4 linked regions of the Mus musculus genome follow. The protein of the gene in region 2 interacts with the protein of the main gene of each other region in a biochemical or structural test. Links are inferred from orthologs where the notes say so. Each region holds a gene or a part of one and is shown on either strand. Other genes may lie near its edges.

Region 1 (4,189 bases), on a different chromosome or scaffold from region 2:
AACATCAACCTACGTGCATCTTTCCACCGGAGCCACTGGTTTTCTTGGGTGCGGCAGGCAAGGCCTGGGGAATTCCCTACAGCTGGAGGTCTGCCAGCCCTTCTTCATTACCCAGCACTACCCAGCCTCCGTGCTACCCTTCTGCCACCTACAGGGGTCGCTGCGAGACAGCCCGCCCAGTTCGTAGAGTTTCTTTCTGATCCCCTTAGGAAAAGCCAGAGCCACTTTGTATAAATTAGCGTCTTTATTTCCAACACCTGAGCGAGCGAGCCTCGAGGCTCGCCCGCTTGAGGAATAAACATACAAAGTTTTTGTTGCACTACACAGCATGCCTGGGAGATAAATATAGCCCAAGGGGCTCCCGCTCTGGCCAAGCAACTCTTATTTACACGAATAGATTACAAAAGTCTTATATAAAAAAATAAGTGGTCCTGAACCGCGGGAAGGGGGAGAGTGGGGTATGGTTACACCTGTTACACCTGAGACCTGAGTGGCCTCCGCAAGCTGTGGGGAAAAGTGGGTGCCAGGAGGGCTCCAGAAAGTGACAAACAAAAGGATGTGGAGGGCAGGGCTTAGGTGTGCAAGGCTCACCCCTGTGCTATGAGGAAAGGAAGAGCGCCTGGCCACTCAAGGATCAGCTCTGGCCCAGTGAGGTGCAGCCAGAGTGCAAGTGGCCTTCGCTGTGAGCCGCATGAAAAAACAAACAAACAACTGAAGGACTACAACAACAACAACAAAAAGGACTATGTCCTTTCTTTGGGGCTGGATCTAGGACAGACTTCTGCTCTTCCCTTCCCTCTGGAAGAACGGCTTCGAAAGGACAGTTGGGAAGAGTGTCATTTAAGCTTCATCTTTTGGGCGTGAAGAACCAGGGACACCATCCCCAGGAGTGCCTACGGTGGTGCGCCCTCTGCTGCTGCAGTCGATCTCTCAAAGCACCTGATAAATCGCATTGGGGTTTGAGCCTGCAGGACACTGAGGGGCGGCGTCGGGAGACGGGGTCTGGGTTCCCTGTTCTGTGTCGCTTAGGGATGCCCCCTCTGGCGGACCCGGAGGCGACTCTGGTGGTGCATCTGCCAAAAGCAGCGCAGGCGCAGCGGGGCTGTCTGTGGAGATGCGCTCCACTATGCTGGACAGGCAGTCGAGGCTCGACACAGCCGCACTCTTCCCTGGCCTGGACTCTGTGAGGGGAGTGGAAGGTTAGTAATCCAAACTTGCGGCCCTTCTCAAGTCTCCTGCCCATAGGCACGGAGCTTTGTAGCAAAAGGGAAACTGAGGACTTGCTAGACTGGAAGGAGAAAGGAGAGGAAGGTGTGCATCATAGTTCTTTGTCCCCTCCCCCAATGCTCCCCCCCCAGCCTCCCCCCCCCCCGCCATCCCAAGGTACGGGTATGTATGTGGTGGAGGCAGGAAGAGGATACTAAGCCTAGGGAGCGAGGAAAGTTTCAAGGGGGATACAGAAGGCCGATAAAGGCCTGCTAGCTGGGAACAGCTGAGAATACGCACCGCGCGCCGCCTCACTGTAGTAGGCGGTGTCGTAGCCATTCTGCCGCCGGGGGCCGCTTGGGGGGCCGCTGTAATCCATCTGCGAATAGCAAGGATAACAGAGTTAGGTCTACAGGGCCCGAGTGGGTCTCAAGCAACACTCCTTGTCATCACCCCTCCCTCACTCCCTTAGTCTCAGCTGCTGGTTCCAGGACTGGGTCAGCCCCAGGTGGTAGGAGCCAGCCACACACTGGAAGCTGTCGCATGCGGGGCCAAACTGAGAGTGGACAGTCACTCAGGAACAATAATCTGCATTAGGGTAATAATGAGAAGGAAAAGCATATCCCGGGGTCTGCGCAGCAGTGTTCCACCCCCAATCGGCAGAATCATAGATGCCCTGGGTCTCCAAAGCGACTCCAGTGTCAGATGCCAGGAGCATCTAGGTATAAGGGACACCCCCACCCCAAGGGCCTCGGAAACCTGTTGCAGATACCCCAGGCGCCGCCTCCATTGCTCATCCTCCTGAGCCCCCCGCCTTACCATGCCATCAGAGCAGTTGGAGCGCGGGCTGGATGCATCTGAGTCGCCACTGTAGTGCTCGCTGCCACGGCCTGGGGGCAGCGGTCCAGGTGCGTAGAAGGCAGCGGCGCCAGGGGGCGCGGCGTCCTGGTCGCGCAGCAGAGCCTGCAGACCTTCGATGTAGCGGATGGCGTTGCGCAGGATCTCCACCTTGGGTAGCCGCTGGTTCGGGTTGCTGGACGTGCAGCGCTTGAGCGTCTCGAAGGCCTCATTCACTTTGCTCAGGCGGCGGCGCTCGCGCATGGTGGCGGCCTTGCGGCGATCAGCGTTGGTGGTCTTGCGCTTGCACGCCTTGCAGGCCCACAGCAAGCAGCGACCCGCCTGGTGGTGCCCGCTGGGCGCGCGCACATGCTCATCCTCACGAGCGCCTGGGCCTGGGTGCACCGCAGTAGGGAAGTGTGCGTGCTCCTCCGGTTTCAGGAGGGCTCCCATGTGCACCAGGCGCGGGTCCAGGTCCTCAAAAAAGCGCAGGTCTGGTGAGTCGAAACACGGGTCATCATAGAAGTCGTCTGCTGTCTCAAAGGAGCAGAGAGAGCCGTCGGGGCCTGTCAAGTCTATGTCCCGGAGTGGCGGCGATAGAAGCTCCATATCCCAGTTCCTGGGTCCAGCCTCAACCCAAGCCGTGAGAGTCGTCTTAACTTTCTGCCACTCCGGAACCCCAACAGTACAATGACAAAGGTTCTGTGGGTTGGAATGCACACCGGCTGTCCTCTACCCCTCCTCCCTGTCCTGTCCTGTCAGAGGAGTGGTGAAGAAAGCAGTCGTGTCCTGGGGCGTCCTGGCCCCTAGCTTCGCGCCAGGCGCCCTGGGCTATTTATCCAGGGTAGCCTAAAAGCCCGGGAGCTGGAAAGGGAGGCTGGGGGCGGGGGCGCCTCAAGCCAATAGGAGTGTAGTAGGGCGGAGCTTGGGGTCCCCAGGGTAGCCACTGGGGCCAGGGAGTGCCCCCTCCCGCGACTCTGTGCTGGGGCAGCTGCCTAGCTAGGAAGGAGGGCAGAGAGACTGGCAGCCATACGCGGTAGCACTTGGCTATCTGGTGCAGCCTGCCCAAGCCTCTCCAGTGTCTACTCCTCCAGCCTGTACTGACCTCAGTGCTCACTTCGGAGCTGACCTCGGACTCCACTCTGGAGACCAGGCAAAGCATAGGAGTTAGAAATCAGATTGCAGGAGGTTTGGAGAGAGACTCAAGGCTACGGGACAATGAAAGTTCTAGAGAAGAGTGGAGAAATGATGACACACCCAGAGAAGTTGAGCCAAGGACAAAGTGGGCAAGAGACAGTGAGACTCAGAAGGTCTAGGTGAGCAAGCCTGGCACAAATGAATCGGTGGCAGTGCTATTTGGTCATTCTCCATCTGGGAATGGCTCAGAGAATATCTGTTCTTCCACGGGAAGCTTAGAACCCCAGCGCTGTCCTTGCATGCGTAGTGGGAATCATCATTAAAACTTCAAGCCATTCTGCTCAAACTCCGGGTGGACAGTCCAAGGAAAAGAGGGAGGGAGAGAGAGGGAGGCTCCCTCCAACTTACTTTCTGTGAGTGTCTAGAGACCCATGGGGGTCTAGGTTGATCTGTTTCTACCGAGAAGAAGAAAACCTGTTTGCTATGGGTTTGTGCCATCTTGCTCTGAGTGAACCCTGGGAAATGCCTTTCTTAAGGATCGTGATGGCTGGAACCTGGCCTGACAACCTCACCTACTGTAGAGTTGGTAGAGTCGGCATAACTTTGTTGAGATGACCTCTTCCCAAGTCTGTATCCACTTCATATCCAGGAACAATGACAATGTCCAGGGGGTAACTGTGGTGATGGGTGAGAATCCAAACCAGGGATGGATGTGGAAATGTCAGTGGAGGTGGGAGACTTGCTTCTGTTTCCAGCACCTGCCTGCCCGCTTGCATAGCATAACCAGCAACCTTCTCTGGCTTTGCCTGCAGCACTGAGATCTGGCAGAGGGCTCTGGGGGCTCTGGCTCTGTTCTTCTGGAGACTTCAGCTGGGTCTCTTCCAGCAGGCTAACTGGGGAGGTAAGATCAAAAGGAAGGAGCCACCTTGTGGGATCTCTGGCTCTCCTACACATCCCAACACACCCCAACCCTGGGATGTTCATGCTTTTGGGGGGCTCTGGCTAGAAG
Region 2 (4,242 bases):
GTACCCTTAGGAGATCGAAGCCCTTGGTCTTGGTACCTGGGCCCATCTCAGATCCAGGAGGTAGAGCTGACAGCCTCTCCCTTCAGGTGACAGCGTTGGACATTGGACCTGGCCCTATCGTTTTTGGGCTTGGGAGTGGGCGCTCAAGAGCCTTGCGGTGCCCTTGCAAACTTGGGAAGCACAAGGAAGGGGTGGACTCTCGGCCTGTCATTTTCTCCCTCAGTGATCTTAGAGAAAGTTGCTTTGCCCCTTCCTGCCTCAGTTTCCCCATCTGCACACAGACCCGAGGACCCTCTGTAACCTGCAGGCGCCACTTCGCCATTACTAGCATAGGGCGCGGGGAAGAGGCGCAGGTTGCGGTGGCGTCTTCTTAGTCCGATGTCACCCTGGAGGCTCGCAAGCAAGGAGCTGCGAAGAGCCAGAGCTGCCGGGGCGGGGCGGGACCGGACGGGCTGGGCCCGGATCAGCGCTGACTCCGAGCCTGGCGGGGGGGGGGGTCTAGGCTCGAGCCCAGGGCGCCCTCCCCGCGCGTGCCGCGTTACTGACAGCGTCAGAACAAAAGTGGCCGTCTGCTCTGCGCACTTGGCGTCCCGCAGGCCGGGCCTAGCACCGCAGCCCGTCGCCTCACGCATCGCCGCCGTGCCTTCGACCCTTCCACCCGAGCGCGCTCGGCTCTTTCCGCCGCGGCCGGCGCAGGTGGAGGGGCGGGGCGGGGGCCGTGCGTGGTGACGCCGCGGGGGGGGTGACGTACAAGCGTGCCCCGCCCCCTCCCCCTCCCCGTTCAGGCTCTGGAAAGAGAAGAAAAAAAACTTTCTTTTTTTTTTTAATTGAGGAATCAACAGCCGCCATCTTGTCGCGGATCCGACCGGGGCTTCGAGCGCGATCTACTCGGCCCCGCCGGTCCCGGGCCCCACAACCGCCCGCGCACCCCGCTCCGCCTGGCCGGCCCGCTCCGCCCGGCCCTCGGCGCCCGCCCCGGCGGCCCCGCTCGCCTCTCGTCTCGGCCTCCCGGAGCCCGGCGGCGGCGGCGGCGGCGGCGGCGGCACGGGGTGGGGGGGCCGCGGCGCGGCGGCGGCCCCGCTCGGCGCATTGTTTTTCCTCACGGCGGCGGCGGGCCGCGGGCGGGCGGCGGAGCCCAAAGCCCCCCGGTCGTCCGGCCGCGGGCGAATTCATTAAGTGGGGCGCGCGGGGGGGGGGGGTGGCGGCGAGGCGGCGGCGGTACCACCATGTTCCCGGGCGCCGCCTGAGCCGCGGGGCCGGGCGCCGTCGCTGCCAGCCGGGCCCGCGGAGGCGGCCGGGCCGCTTGGGTGCCCGGGCCGCGGAGTGTCGCGCTCGGGAGGCGGGCAGGGGATGAGGGGGCCGCGGCCGGCGGCGGCGGCGGCCGGGGGCGGGCGGTGAGCGCTGCGGGGCGCTGTTGCTGAGGCTGAGATTTGGCCGCCGCCTCCCCCACCCGGCCTGCGCCCTCCGCGGCCCGGCCCGCGCTCCTGCGCTCGCTCCTCGCTGGCTCGCCTGCTCGCAGCCGCCGGCCCGACCCCCGTCCGGGCCGCGTCGCGCCGCCCGCGCTCAGGGCTGTTTCCGCGAGCAGGTGAAGATGGCCGAGAACTTGCTGGACGGACCGCCCAACCCCAAACGAGCCAAACTCAGCTCGCCCGGCTTCTCCGCGAATGACAACACAGGTGAGGCTGGGTCTAGGCTCGCTGTCAGAGTTCGGGGCAGGGAGGGGGTTGAGGGTCGCAGTGGCCAGAGACTCTGTCCCGGGCCTTGGGATGCGCTTCCCTGGTCGGGAGGAAAAGTGAAGCGGGGGCGCGGTCTAGTGTCCGCACGCGTGGCCGGCCGGGATGACAGCGGAGGGGACCTTGGAGGTTTGGAGTAAGAGAATGCGACCAGAGGCAATGAGGGCTTTCAGGATCGGACCCCCCACTCTAGGCGGTGCAGTCGCGGACACAGCTGCTGCCTTCTTAGTTGCGACGAGTTGCGACGGAGAAGTTTCTTGGAATGTGTTGCTTGGGAAAACGCTTAGTGGTTATTTAGAAAGTCTTGATTTTTTTTTTTTTTTGATCACCTAGTATTTTTTTTTCTCCAAAACCCCAAACCTCATGTGCGAGTTGTCATCAAAGTTGCTGTGGTGTCTTTCATTTACATACGTAACCTTAAAAAGAAGCTAGCAGGCTTTTAAAAGTCCATTTGGGCTCCAGTCTGCCTTTGAGGTTGGAATGGTTTTACACTGGAGATGAAAAATTAAAAAATTAAGGACTTTGAATCTTTCAGGGAAAGAGAAAAGCAAGATAATCTTAAATCTTTTCCCCAACTCACAAAATAGCTTCCGTGCAAACTTTCTTAGGTGATCGGATCGGGTACCCAAGACTTCCCTGTTCATTCAGTAATTCAGAGTACTTCTGGACAGCTCTGATAACCTTGCCAATTATTCGTATTTCCCCTTTTAAGCTCTCCTTCGAAATATAAACTCGTATGCTGCTGTGAACAATGCCGGCTCAGCGCAGCTAGCACTTTTCCAGTACGTACTTGTAGCGGCATCTGAAAATCAGTTTCTGATGAATGGGTCCAAATCAAATTACATTGCTGCCTGCAGATTGGCGCTAGATACAGATGTTCAAGTTGTGGAACTCTGTGACTTTATACAAGTGTATTTAAAAATATTTCTGCTTTTGAAACAAAACTTAGATTTCACGGCTTCAGTTTGAAGTGCTCCTGAAATCCAGTCATGAAAGGAGAATGTTAATGTAGAAATGAGAGGGGAGTATTCTCCCTCCATCATTTTTCAGGAGATTTTTGTTGACTTAAAATTTGTTGAGTGGTAGAAAGGAGTAAATAAATAATTCACAGGTAGGTAGGGAAAAGTCACTTTTCTTTTTAAATGACAAGTTGTTTGATGTTTATTTTCATAAAAATCTTATTGATGAAAAATGTTGAAACAGTGGTTTAAGCACACTTGTGCAAAGTAGAGCTAGCTCCCTTGCTTTAGTAATGTTGCTGTGCTCGAGCCAGAAGACTGTAATCATGTGAGATGTAGATCATACCAGGCAGGTGTTGTCCTCAAGTTTATCCTCTGACACTGCTAACTGGAAGACTTCAGCTTTGCTGTTACTGAGTGAACTTGAAGATTTTTCTTAGAAGTGGGGCAAATTAATAAGACCACAAAAAGACCTGTAGTATCTTATATATCCAGAGGTTTACAAGATGGAACCCAAAAGAAGATGGCTTTTCCCCTCCCTCCTCCTCCTTTTCTTCTTCTTCTTCCTCCTTTTCTCCCTCCTCCTCCTCTTCTTCCTCCTCCTCTTCTTTCCTCTTCCTCTTCCTCCTCCTCCTTTTTCCTTTTTTTTTTTTTTTTTTTGTGTGTGTGTGTAGCTTCTCTGGATTGTCAGATATTTACTTACTGTGTTGCTGACCAGAGCAGACTTATCCAAAAGAATCTTCTGCACGTGAGCACTTTGTCCCTTTCTCTTTCCACTTTTTGCCCAGGAGACGCAGAAGAGTACTTTCACATTTACAGATATGTGAAACAAGGGGTAGTAGTTTCTAATGATTCTGATTTAGATGATCAAAGAATAAGACGGCATTCATATTGAAAGGGTGTAAGGGTCCACTCAGAAGAAGGAGCCATTTTTGAATACATTAAACAAGATGAAACCTTGTTAAGAGTAACTATTAGTCTACGATCCAGTAACAAGATAGACAGATCTTAAAAATTAAACAAATAAATGGCTGAAGTATTTATGTTAAGTATATTTAAAGCAGTGAAGGCTGGGATAGAGACAGAAGGAAAAATTGAACTTTGTTTTCTTTTTTTTGGTTCCCCCCCCCCCCCCCCCCCACACACACACACACAAGGTTTCTTTGTCCCTGGCTGTCCTGGAACTCACTCTGTAGACCAGGCTGGCCTCAAACTCAGAAATCCCCCTGCCTCTGCCTCCTAGGTACTGGATTAAAGTCGTGTGCACCACTGCCCAGCCTGAACTTTGTTTTCTTGAGGGGTCTTATCTCAGGCCTCCAAGAGAACATTGGGCTGGGGTAGGTGAGGTGTGTGTTCTGAGCACAAGATGAAATTTGAGGGAGGGGATGCAAGGAGAGTGAACAGAGAGCCCTAGACAGTGAGAAACAGTTGCTACTTGAACTAGTGATACAAGCCACATCTTTGGGGACTGAGTTGTGAATCCATCAAGTGCATTTTAGCTGTGTTTCTAGGGATAGCAGTGGGTGGAGAAGAGAGTGAGAGGGAAGCCT
Region 3 (4,064 bases), on a different chromosome or scaffold from region 2:
GAAACAGGCTTGAGACAGCGGGAAACCACTTCTAGCTCACTGGTTAAAAAAAAAAAAAAGGTGACCCTTTTCTTGAAGAGCATGGCTTGAGCAGCCTCTTGTGCCAGTTCCTTTAGCAAGACTTCCTTGACTCTGTGCAGATCCAATCACCCCTGGCTCTTAGTAACGGAGCACAGTTGTGTCTTCTAGCTCTGTGATTTCCTCCCTTCTTTTTCTCTAATTCTGGGTCTAGTGAAGTAAATGTGGTGTGTGTGTGTAGGGGTGAGGTGGGGTGGGGGTCTCTGTGTGCGCATGTGCGAACACGCGCACTCGCGAGTGTGAGCACATGCACACGGCGGCTGCAGCGGGTCAAGCTCAGAGACATATTTTGTGAAAGGAATTCACTACTGAGCTACACTTCCACCTATGACCCCTCTCCAGGAGGCCTCGGTACAAGCAAGTGGCAGAGGTCAGTTTCCAGGTGCGCAGGTGCGCGCGCGCGCGCGCGCACATGTATGTGTGCAGATAAACTGTTCACAAAGTCACCTAACTTAAGCTTTCTTGTTCAAGTGAGTGCCGCCCCCTGGTGGGGTGGGAGTGACCCTGGCACAACACCAGGGAAGTATTAAGCTTCCTGCGTGGGGAGGGGGGACACTCTGGGAGCTTGTGGCCCCCTTTTGACTAGGTTTGGCAATGAAAGCAAACCACGCTTTCCTCAGAGAAGCAGGGTCTGTAGCAAAGCTTGTCCTCAAGTCCTCATCTTGAGGGTAGACTCATTACCTAACCTCCCTGGGCCTTCATTTCCTCAGATGCAAAATGTGGACTCCGAACTGCCAAGGCGGACTAACTAAATGAAAAAAAAATTCTTAGATTTCACCGGTTATGGATTTAGCTTAGTGGCAACCATGCGGCCCTGGGTTCAGTTCCTAGAATCAAAAGGGGAGGAAAAAAAAAAAGACTTCATAAACTCTAAAGGCCGTGTTACGTGTAAGTCATAAGAAGGGACTACTCCCAGTGTAACAAGCACTCGTGGTCATTCTACCCTGGAAAATCAACTTAAGGGAAAAGAAAAACAGCTGTGCAGGCTGCGTCCAAGGAGGGAAGCTCTTTGTGAGCTTCAGATTGTGGCATGGCAGTCTACCCAGAAATAGCGCCAAGGGTCTCGGTCAGCTGTCCCATCTTCTGTTCAGTCTGGCCCCTCCGCACATTGTAGATCTGCTCCCTCACTCTAACGTCTACGTGAAGGTCCATTCTGTCCGCTGTACTTGGTACACTAACACAAACCACCTACAGAGAGAGATACAAGGCATGGATACGGGCTGAACCCTCCTTAGTTTTGTGATTAGAGTCCGTATTTCTCTGGCGAAGTTTTCAGAGTTACCGTTTGAGATCTTCCCAGTTTCTTCAAGAAAGACCAAGGACCAACTTGGACTCGAAAGTCAAAGCTATATGATACCTCCTTTCTCCATGAGTAGTATTCCTGAACAAAGACTTTCCCCGTGAGTTTGGAGAGCGCCTTACAAGGAAGGATTTTCGTCAGGAGAAGGTAAACTGAGGCAGATAGCAGCTTGCGGGCCTCTTTCCTTAGTGCACAAGGTCGCTACCTTTCCCCATGGATACCAACCACTTTGCCCCCCTTCACCGCCCACTCCCTCTTGGGCAGAGCAATCGTAGAACAGTTCTGTTCACTGAGGTATTGGGAGGCGAGCAGGGAATCCGAGTAATCCCGCAGGAATGGGCCAAAAGGTGTTGGGTGGGAGGGGAGGGAGGAGGGAAGGCTAGGTGCCGGTGGAGAATCCACACAGTTCCTGCTGTACATAGGATAAAGACTTCTCTGTGGGAATAAATGTTTGGAGCAGCTCAAGCCAAAGTGCTGAGTAGCGAGTAGAGAATTCGATTTTCCTCAGAGCAGGGACAGTGTCTTATTCATCTCCGATCCTCCTGCTTCAAGCTGCTCAGAGTGTGGTATATACTATGTACTAAGTAAATGCCTGTCTAACTGAAGATTAAAGGTGGATCTTTGGGCTTTCCAAAGGGGTGGAAAGGCGGTAATGGGGGGCCCCGGAGTGAGAGTAACTAGAGGGGTCCAAGGGTGGATGGCGTGAAGGTAAGGGAGTCATACTTACCTTCCATCCTGCCGAGCTGTTGCTGTCACCCTTGTCCTTGAAGTAGGGCACCGTGCGGACCATCCATTCGTAGATCTGGGCGAGTGTCAGCCGCTTCTCCGGGGCGCTTTCAATGGCCTGGCTGATGAGTTCTGCATATGACTGATTTCCCCAGGCATTCCGGCGGGAGCCTCCCTTCCGAGGACCTGTTACAGCCCCCAGGATTCCCGGCTGGGGGCCCCCTGCCGGCTCTGGGAGCCGAGAGGGCAACAGGATCGGTTCGGAGTGTCCCTCCGTGGGTACCTTCTGTCCCAGACTGGGCTCCACCTCGGACGGTTCGTGTGGCTCCGTAGCGAGGTCTGGTCGAGGAAGGGGCCAGGTGCAGGATCGCGGACGGCTCTGGGGTTCGAAGTCGGGATCGAGGTCTAGGATCGCGGCAGCCCCTGTGGCTGACTTCTTATTCTCTGGATCCATACGTGGGGTCGAACCTCTGCAGCTCAGCGATCAGTGGAGCCTGCCACAGTCCCTCACCATGCCTCCCCCAAGGGGGGAAACACATTCTTTCCAGTTCTCAGAAAGTCACGAACTTCTCCCTCGTCTCCGGACTCTAGCTCCTAAACTGTCCCTTTCACTCCGTTCTCCGATCCCCTCCGGAGTCCGGGCTGCAGCCTCAGAGTAGCGCTCTGAGGCACCACCTGTAACCTCCGCCTAGCGAAGGCACTTTCTGCACCCTCTCACTCAGCTTCCTGCTCTTTTAAACCTGAGGCACCGTATCCCCTCATACATTGCGCTCCCATCACCGAACGTCTCCTCAGCGAAGTTCCCTCCCCCTTTCAAGTTGCTGCCCCCCGGACACTCCTCCCAAATTTCCTCCACCCGGATCGCTGCCCTCCCCCACGCCCCGCTCCCGGGCGTCACTTGTCCCTCCCCTGGCTCTCCCTCCCCTCGCCTCTTCCCTCCAGGTCACTCTTGAGAGGGTCAAGGTTCTTGCGGCCCCAGCCTCCCCAACTCCAGAACTGAATCCCCTATCGGACCCCCCCACCCCCCGCCCCCCGGGTTTCCCTTTTGTTTTGCTCCAAGCAGCAGCCCCCGCCAGACGTCTCTGTTTACCACTCGCTGGGGCAGCCATCTGCGCACGCGCCTCAGGAGCCACTTGGGAAACTGAGTTCTCGAATCGTGCCACCCTGGTCGTTCTCGAAGACTACATCTCCCGTCCTACCTTGCGATCAGGAGTCCGATATCGGCCGCAGGAGAGCGGCGCGTGGCAGGATGTGGGGAGGTGGAACTTTAATGATTAGAGGTCGTCCCGGACTCTTTTTCTTTTCTTAAAAATATTTTTCCTCATTCCTTCCCTTTTCACCCACTTCCTCGAGTTTCGGGGTCGCCCAAAAGATCGTTTTGAAAGACGCTAGATTTTCCCATCCTTCACTAAGAAAGCAAAGTGAAAATGTATTGCCCTTATAAGAAGCAGAAAGAGTATCAACAAGTAGGGATCTGATTAGAAAATAAGACACACTCACTTGGGGAGTTGAGAGGGAAGCTTGTGTAACAACAAACAGTGTTCATTGGTTATGGTGCACTCTCTCCATTTTCTATGTACATTTCACAGACAGTCTTGCTAGTTTCCTCTGTCAGCTATGCAGGCCTCTGAAATACTGATCTTCTCCTTGTTCTGATCTTCAATGGCTTCTCATTCAACATGTCTCCAACTGAACTTTTTTTTTTTTTAATCTCTTTCTGCACCTATACCTCCACCCTCTAGCTACCTTTAACCTCTGTTATTTTGTCTTTTTTCTGGAGCTGAGGACCGACTCCAGGGCCTTAGCCCTTGTTAGGCAAGTGCTATACCACTGAGCTAAATCCCCGATCCCTACTCTTAAGCTCTGAATTTGGTTAGAGGCTGTTCTGGGTCTACCTAACCTTCTCAGCCACACTGATGGTCACCTTTCCACTTCTGTAACTTGCTACTTCCAAATTCTA
Region 4 (4,153 bases), on a different chromosome or scaffold from region 2:
CCAGAGCTCTGGGCAAGGAGGCCTCAAGTGGCATCCCTCCAGAGTCTCACAACCGAGGCAAGCTTAGAGAACAAGAGGGAAAAAGGCTTTCTCCATCTCGTGTCTGAATGGGAGAGGCAATTGTGAATTTAGCATCAGAGAGACACAACCAACGCTGGGGCCTGGGAGGACCGATCCCTGGCCTCTGCTTTTGGCTCCTTGCTTTTATCTCAACTGTAACTTCCGAATTGAGGCTGGAGGCTGGGAAGGCCCTGGGGCAGACCATGGCTCTTGCCTTTGCTGTTCAGGCTCAGGGGTGACAGGGTGGCTGGGGGCTATGGGGGAGATGACAGGGAAAGATTGGATGTGACTGAGCTGCGAGTTTTCACATCTTTATTATTATTATCATCATCATCATAATCATTATTAATAATATTAATATTATTACCGAAGTATTTCACGTCCGGAGCTAAGACAAGACTACAAACACAACACATAGAAAATTAATAAAATAGAACTTTGTTTTCTTCTGAGGCTCCTCTTCTTCCTTCTAGGTAGTATGTGCTCCTTCCAGTGGCTTTGGGGAGGGGGTAGGAGAGACAAGTCTGGGGTCAGGGAGTCTTTCAGGTCCCTGCTGAGGGGACAGCGAATCTACCATTGAACCGTGCACGGGGGACATGGACGAAATGAGACTCGACAAGGACATGAGCATTCTGCTCTGCTTCCAGGAGACATCAAGTGAGTCCGATTCTCAGTTCTCACCAGAGAGCCTGATGAGGCCAAGGTGGGTTCTTCGGGGGAGGGAGGAGGCGCTGGGGGTGCTGGGTGGGCATCCGCCAAGCGCCCAGGAAGAGCTCTGCAGAAGGGGGCATCCAGGCAAGCACTGGGCCCTGCCCGTCGTGCTCTGGACAGCAAGTCCCCAGACTCCCCCGACCGCAGAGCCTTCTGGGGCTTTCGGGTGCCCTAGGTTCCCCCACAGACCTCTCCCTTCGCGTCCCCCCTCCCTTTGCAGCACCTTCACTCGGCTGGCTTTTCCTCCTCCTCCTCCGCACTGAGCTGAGACGCACTGAGCAGTTTGCTCTCCTTTTTCCACTTCATGCGCCGGTTCTGAAACCAAATCTTGATCTGCCGCTCGGTCAGGCACAGGGCGTGCGCGATCTCTATGCGCCGCCGGCGGGTCAGGTAGCGATTATAGTGAAATTCCTTCTCCAGCTCCAGGGTCTGGTAGCGTGTGTAGGTCTGGCGGCCTCGCCGACCGCTGGGCCCAAAAGAGGAACCTGTTACGCAGAGAGGAGAAACTGAGGCCTGGGGTCATCACACCAAGCCCATAGCCCCTCCCCCACTCGGCCCTCAAACGTAAAGCTAGCCTGTCGGGAGTAGTCTTTCCCCCTCCCATTCCCTGGTCCCCGTTTCCTACTCCTCCAGCGCCCCCTCCAGATTCCCTCCTGGACTCCGAGGCCTGTGCTTTCTTTCTGCCTAGACTTTCAGTGGGGGGAGAGGAGGGGCACTTGGACTCTCACCTGAGCTTGGGGGAGGGGCTGGCCAGGTGTGCCTCCTACGAGCTGTATCTTTTCTTTCCCTTCCTTTCCATCCATCCAGCCCTCCCTACCCTACTCGATGATAGATTCTGGCCCTTAATCCCTAATGACGTGGATCGATTCATAGTCCGCATTAACAGCCCCTCACTTTCGTGTCCTGCTAATGGACATCAATTGGGACTTGAAGCCCACAAATAATCCAACCTGAGACCCAGGAGCCAGTTTGTTCTTCTCACTCCCTCCGCCTGTCCTCTCTTCTTCCTTCCTCAGACTATACGACCCTATGGTAGTGTCTCACAGCTCCCTGGTCCCCCTTCCCCAGTTCTCCTCCCCCAGCCCCAGGGAAACACAATCCAGGACCCAAGTAAACTCGCCCTTGCCGGCGTCATGCCACCCCTCCCCTTTCATGACGCACTCTTGTTTTTAATGGAGTGGTCTTTGGGTGCGGGGCACCCCCCACCCCTCAGATCCGGACAAGAGCTAGGGAGAACATAAAGGAATACAGGACCAGAGACTGAGTCCCCTAACCTCTTCCGGATCAACAATCCTAGCCTGACTTAAGTAGGGAGAGCCCACTTATTCCCCCTGCCTTACTGTGCAGCTGGGACTTTGCAAACTTTGCAACTTCTGCGGGCAAGAGGACTGATCTGGAGGTCGGGGGGGGGGGCAATCTTGCTCTATCTGCTGAGATGCCCACCTAGTTCCCAATGGGAGAATTGGGGTTGGGGGATGCTGACACTTTCAGTCTTTCTGCTTGCCGACCCCCCCCCACACACACACACACACAGACACGGGACAGCGGGAAGTCTCACTCACTGTTGCACGAATTCATGCGCTGCATCCACGGGTAGACGGGCGTGGAGCACTTCTGCTCCTCGGTCTCTCCGAACACGCTCTTGTCCTGTGCGCAGTCGGACTTGCGCGGCTCGGGGTGGAACGGGGGCGGCTCGTCGGCGCCGGAGAGAGCGCAGGCCGCGTCCTTCTCCCGGTAGAAGGCAGGCGCCGGCCCATAATCACAGGGCGCCGCCCGGCCGTAGCCGCCGCCGGCTGGTGGGTAATAGGAGGACGCCGCAAAGCCCTTGTCCTGGCCGGGTCCCGGCCCATAAGGCGCGGGGTAGTGCCGCAGCGGGTCCGCATAGCCAGACGAGTAGAGCGGCAGCTGGCCCAGGAAGGACTCCTGCCCGCTGGCCAGAGTGACGGGGAAGGTGGAGTTCACGAAATAGGAACTCATCGGGAGGGGAGGCGCGCGAGGCCGCTGCTGCTCCGCCGGGTTTATGATTTGTTGTGTTTTATAGTCCGAGCGCCGCGCCTATTAGTAGTATAGCCGAGATTGGGTTTTAGCTGAGGGGGGATGGCGAGGTGCCAGTGAGGGCCAGAAGGAAATACAACCATCTGATCCAACACTGACCAATGGCAGAGGCAGGAATTGTCAAATAGCACCCAGGAGGAGCGCAGCCTGCACGAGGGACCCGCGCACAAACCTATCAACCTTTTCCCCCTCCTTCCTCTCTCTCTCTCTCTCTCTCTCTCTCTCTCTCTCTCTCTCTCTCTCTCTCTCTCTCTCCACAACGCGCCCTGATCCACCTACGTATGATCTGCGAAAGAGACGTCTGTGCTTTTGAGGGAGGAGGAAGCAGTTAGATGAAGATCATCCCATTCCCCAGTGATGAAATAAATACAACCTCCCCCCCCACCCCACCCCACGCAGGAATAGGGAAAAGTTAATTGTGTTTTCAGAAAAGTTAACCCCTGCGTTGCATGGGCCCGTTCCCTCAAGGGAGGGCTGGGTAAATATCCTCGAATCTCGTTGAGAGAGAATAAAGGGGGAAGGTCTGTTTCTAGGGTTTTGTACTGGTGTGGTGGTGGTGGGGGGTGGAACGAGAACGGACTTGTCCGCTTATTTGCTTCATTTTAGAAACAAGAAAAGAAGAAACACCCTCCTTTGAAGGTTTGGAAAATCGTTTATTGTTTATCAGGCCTGTTTCCCCCTTTTAAGTTTAGGTTTTATTGTATCCCGACTTCAACCCAATTCCCCAGCTTAGAGGAGGGCAAGCCAGTTCCTTCTGCCTAGAAGACCCAAAAGAAGGAAATGTCAGGGGTGTGTGAGCCCAGTTTCTCCCTCTGGCTGCTCCCCGAAGCTATTTGCTATTGCTATTTGGCAAGCCGACCATCCGTATGCCCAGCACAGCTCAGCCGTCCTGGCTGCAGTCTTGACTGAGACTGGGCCCTGGAGAAAGAAACTAGTAGTCCTTAAACTTGGTGATGAAGGGGAAACCCCAGCCTAGGTAACTTTACTTGTTTTCATCTCTATTCTTCCTGCAACCCTTGCTTGGTCTCTCCTCATCTATCCTTATCTCTCAGGCCAAATGATGTAGCAAGAATCCCTGGCTACAGATTTTTAGAACCAAAGATGTTCCCTGTAAATCTAGATACTGGGGGGAATTGTCTTAGAAATGTTGAGTCTTCAGTATTGGAGACCGAGAGTCTCCTCTTTTTCCTACTCTCTTTATAAACTGGTGGTTCCCTTTGAAATTCGCATCCCAAGACTTGGTTTGGATTTGATTTTATAAGGAGAGAAGGCTGCTAGGTCCTCCTAGGGACTTAGTAACCACCTTCCAACCATCAAACTGGCATGC

Evidence for each region. The genes of interacting proteins can lie anywhere in the genome.
Region 1: the proteins of Crebbp (region 2) and Myod1 form a complex in vitro, tested with the Homo sapiens proteins (4 studies listed by BioGRID, with this or other methods). The link is inferred for Mus musculus from reciprocal best matches to the Homo sapiens genes CREBBP and MYOD1.
Region 3: the proteins of Crebbp (region 2) and Foxo4 form a complex in vitro, tested with the Homo sapiens proteins (2 studies listed by BioGRID). The link is inferred for Mus musculus from reciprocal best matches to the Homo sapiens genes CREBBP and FOXO4.
Region 4: the proteins of Crebbp (region 2) and Hoxb6 form a complex in vitro, tested with the Homo sapiens proteins (2 studies listed by BioGRID). The link is inferred for Mus musculus from reciprocal best matches to the Homo sapiens genes CREBBP and HOXB6.

Annotation. Positions count from the first base shown.
Region 1 is NC_000073.6:46,375,136-46,379,324, reverse strand, and holds Myod1 (myoblast determination protein 1), read right to left. Parts: upstream 2,852-4,189; 5' UTR 2,653-2,851; coding exon 2,026-2,652; intron 1,586-2,025; coding exon 1,507-1,585; intron 1,182-1,506; coding exon 931-1,181; 3' UTR 233-930; downstream 1-232. UniProt on the Homo sapiens protein: Acts as a transcriptional activator that promotes transcription of muscle-specific target genes and plays a role in muscle differentiation. Together with MYF5 and MYOG, co-occupies muscle-specific gene promoter core region during myogenesis.
Region 2 is NC_000082.6:4,210,573-4,214,814, reverse strand, and holds the start of Crebbp (histone lysine acetyltransferase CREBBP), read left to right. Parts: upstream 1-1,410; 5' UTR 1,411-1,591; coding exon 1,592-1,676; intron 1,677-4,242. UniProt on the Homo sapiens protein: Acetylates histones, giving a specific tag for transcriptional activation. Mediates acetylation of histone H3 at 'Lys-18' and 'Lys-27' (H3K18ac and H3K27ac, respectively).
Region 3 is NC_000086.7:101,253,315-101,257,378, reverse strand, and holds the start of Foxo4 (forkhead box protein O4), read right to left. Parts: upstream 2,852-4,064; 5' UTR 2,559-2,851; coding exon 2,106-2,558; intron 1,267-2,105; coding exon of another isoform or gene 1,117-1,266; exon of another isoform or gene 1-1,116. UniProt on the Homo sapiens protein: Transcription factor involved in the regulation of the insulin signaling pathway. Binds to insulin-response elements (IREs) and can activate transcription of IGFBP1.
Region 4 is NC_000077.6:96,297,772-96,301,924, reverse strand, and holds Hoxb6 (homeobox protein Hox-B6), read right to left. Parts: upstream 2,852-4,153; 5' UTR 2,827-2,851; coding exon of another isoform or gene 2,749-2,826; coding exon 2,334-2,748; intron 1,257-2,333; coding exon 997-1,256; 3' UTR 356-996; downstream 1-355. UniProt on the Homo sapiens protein: Sequence-specific transcription factor which is part of a developmental regulatory system that provides cells with specific positional identities on the anterior-posterior axis.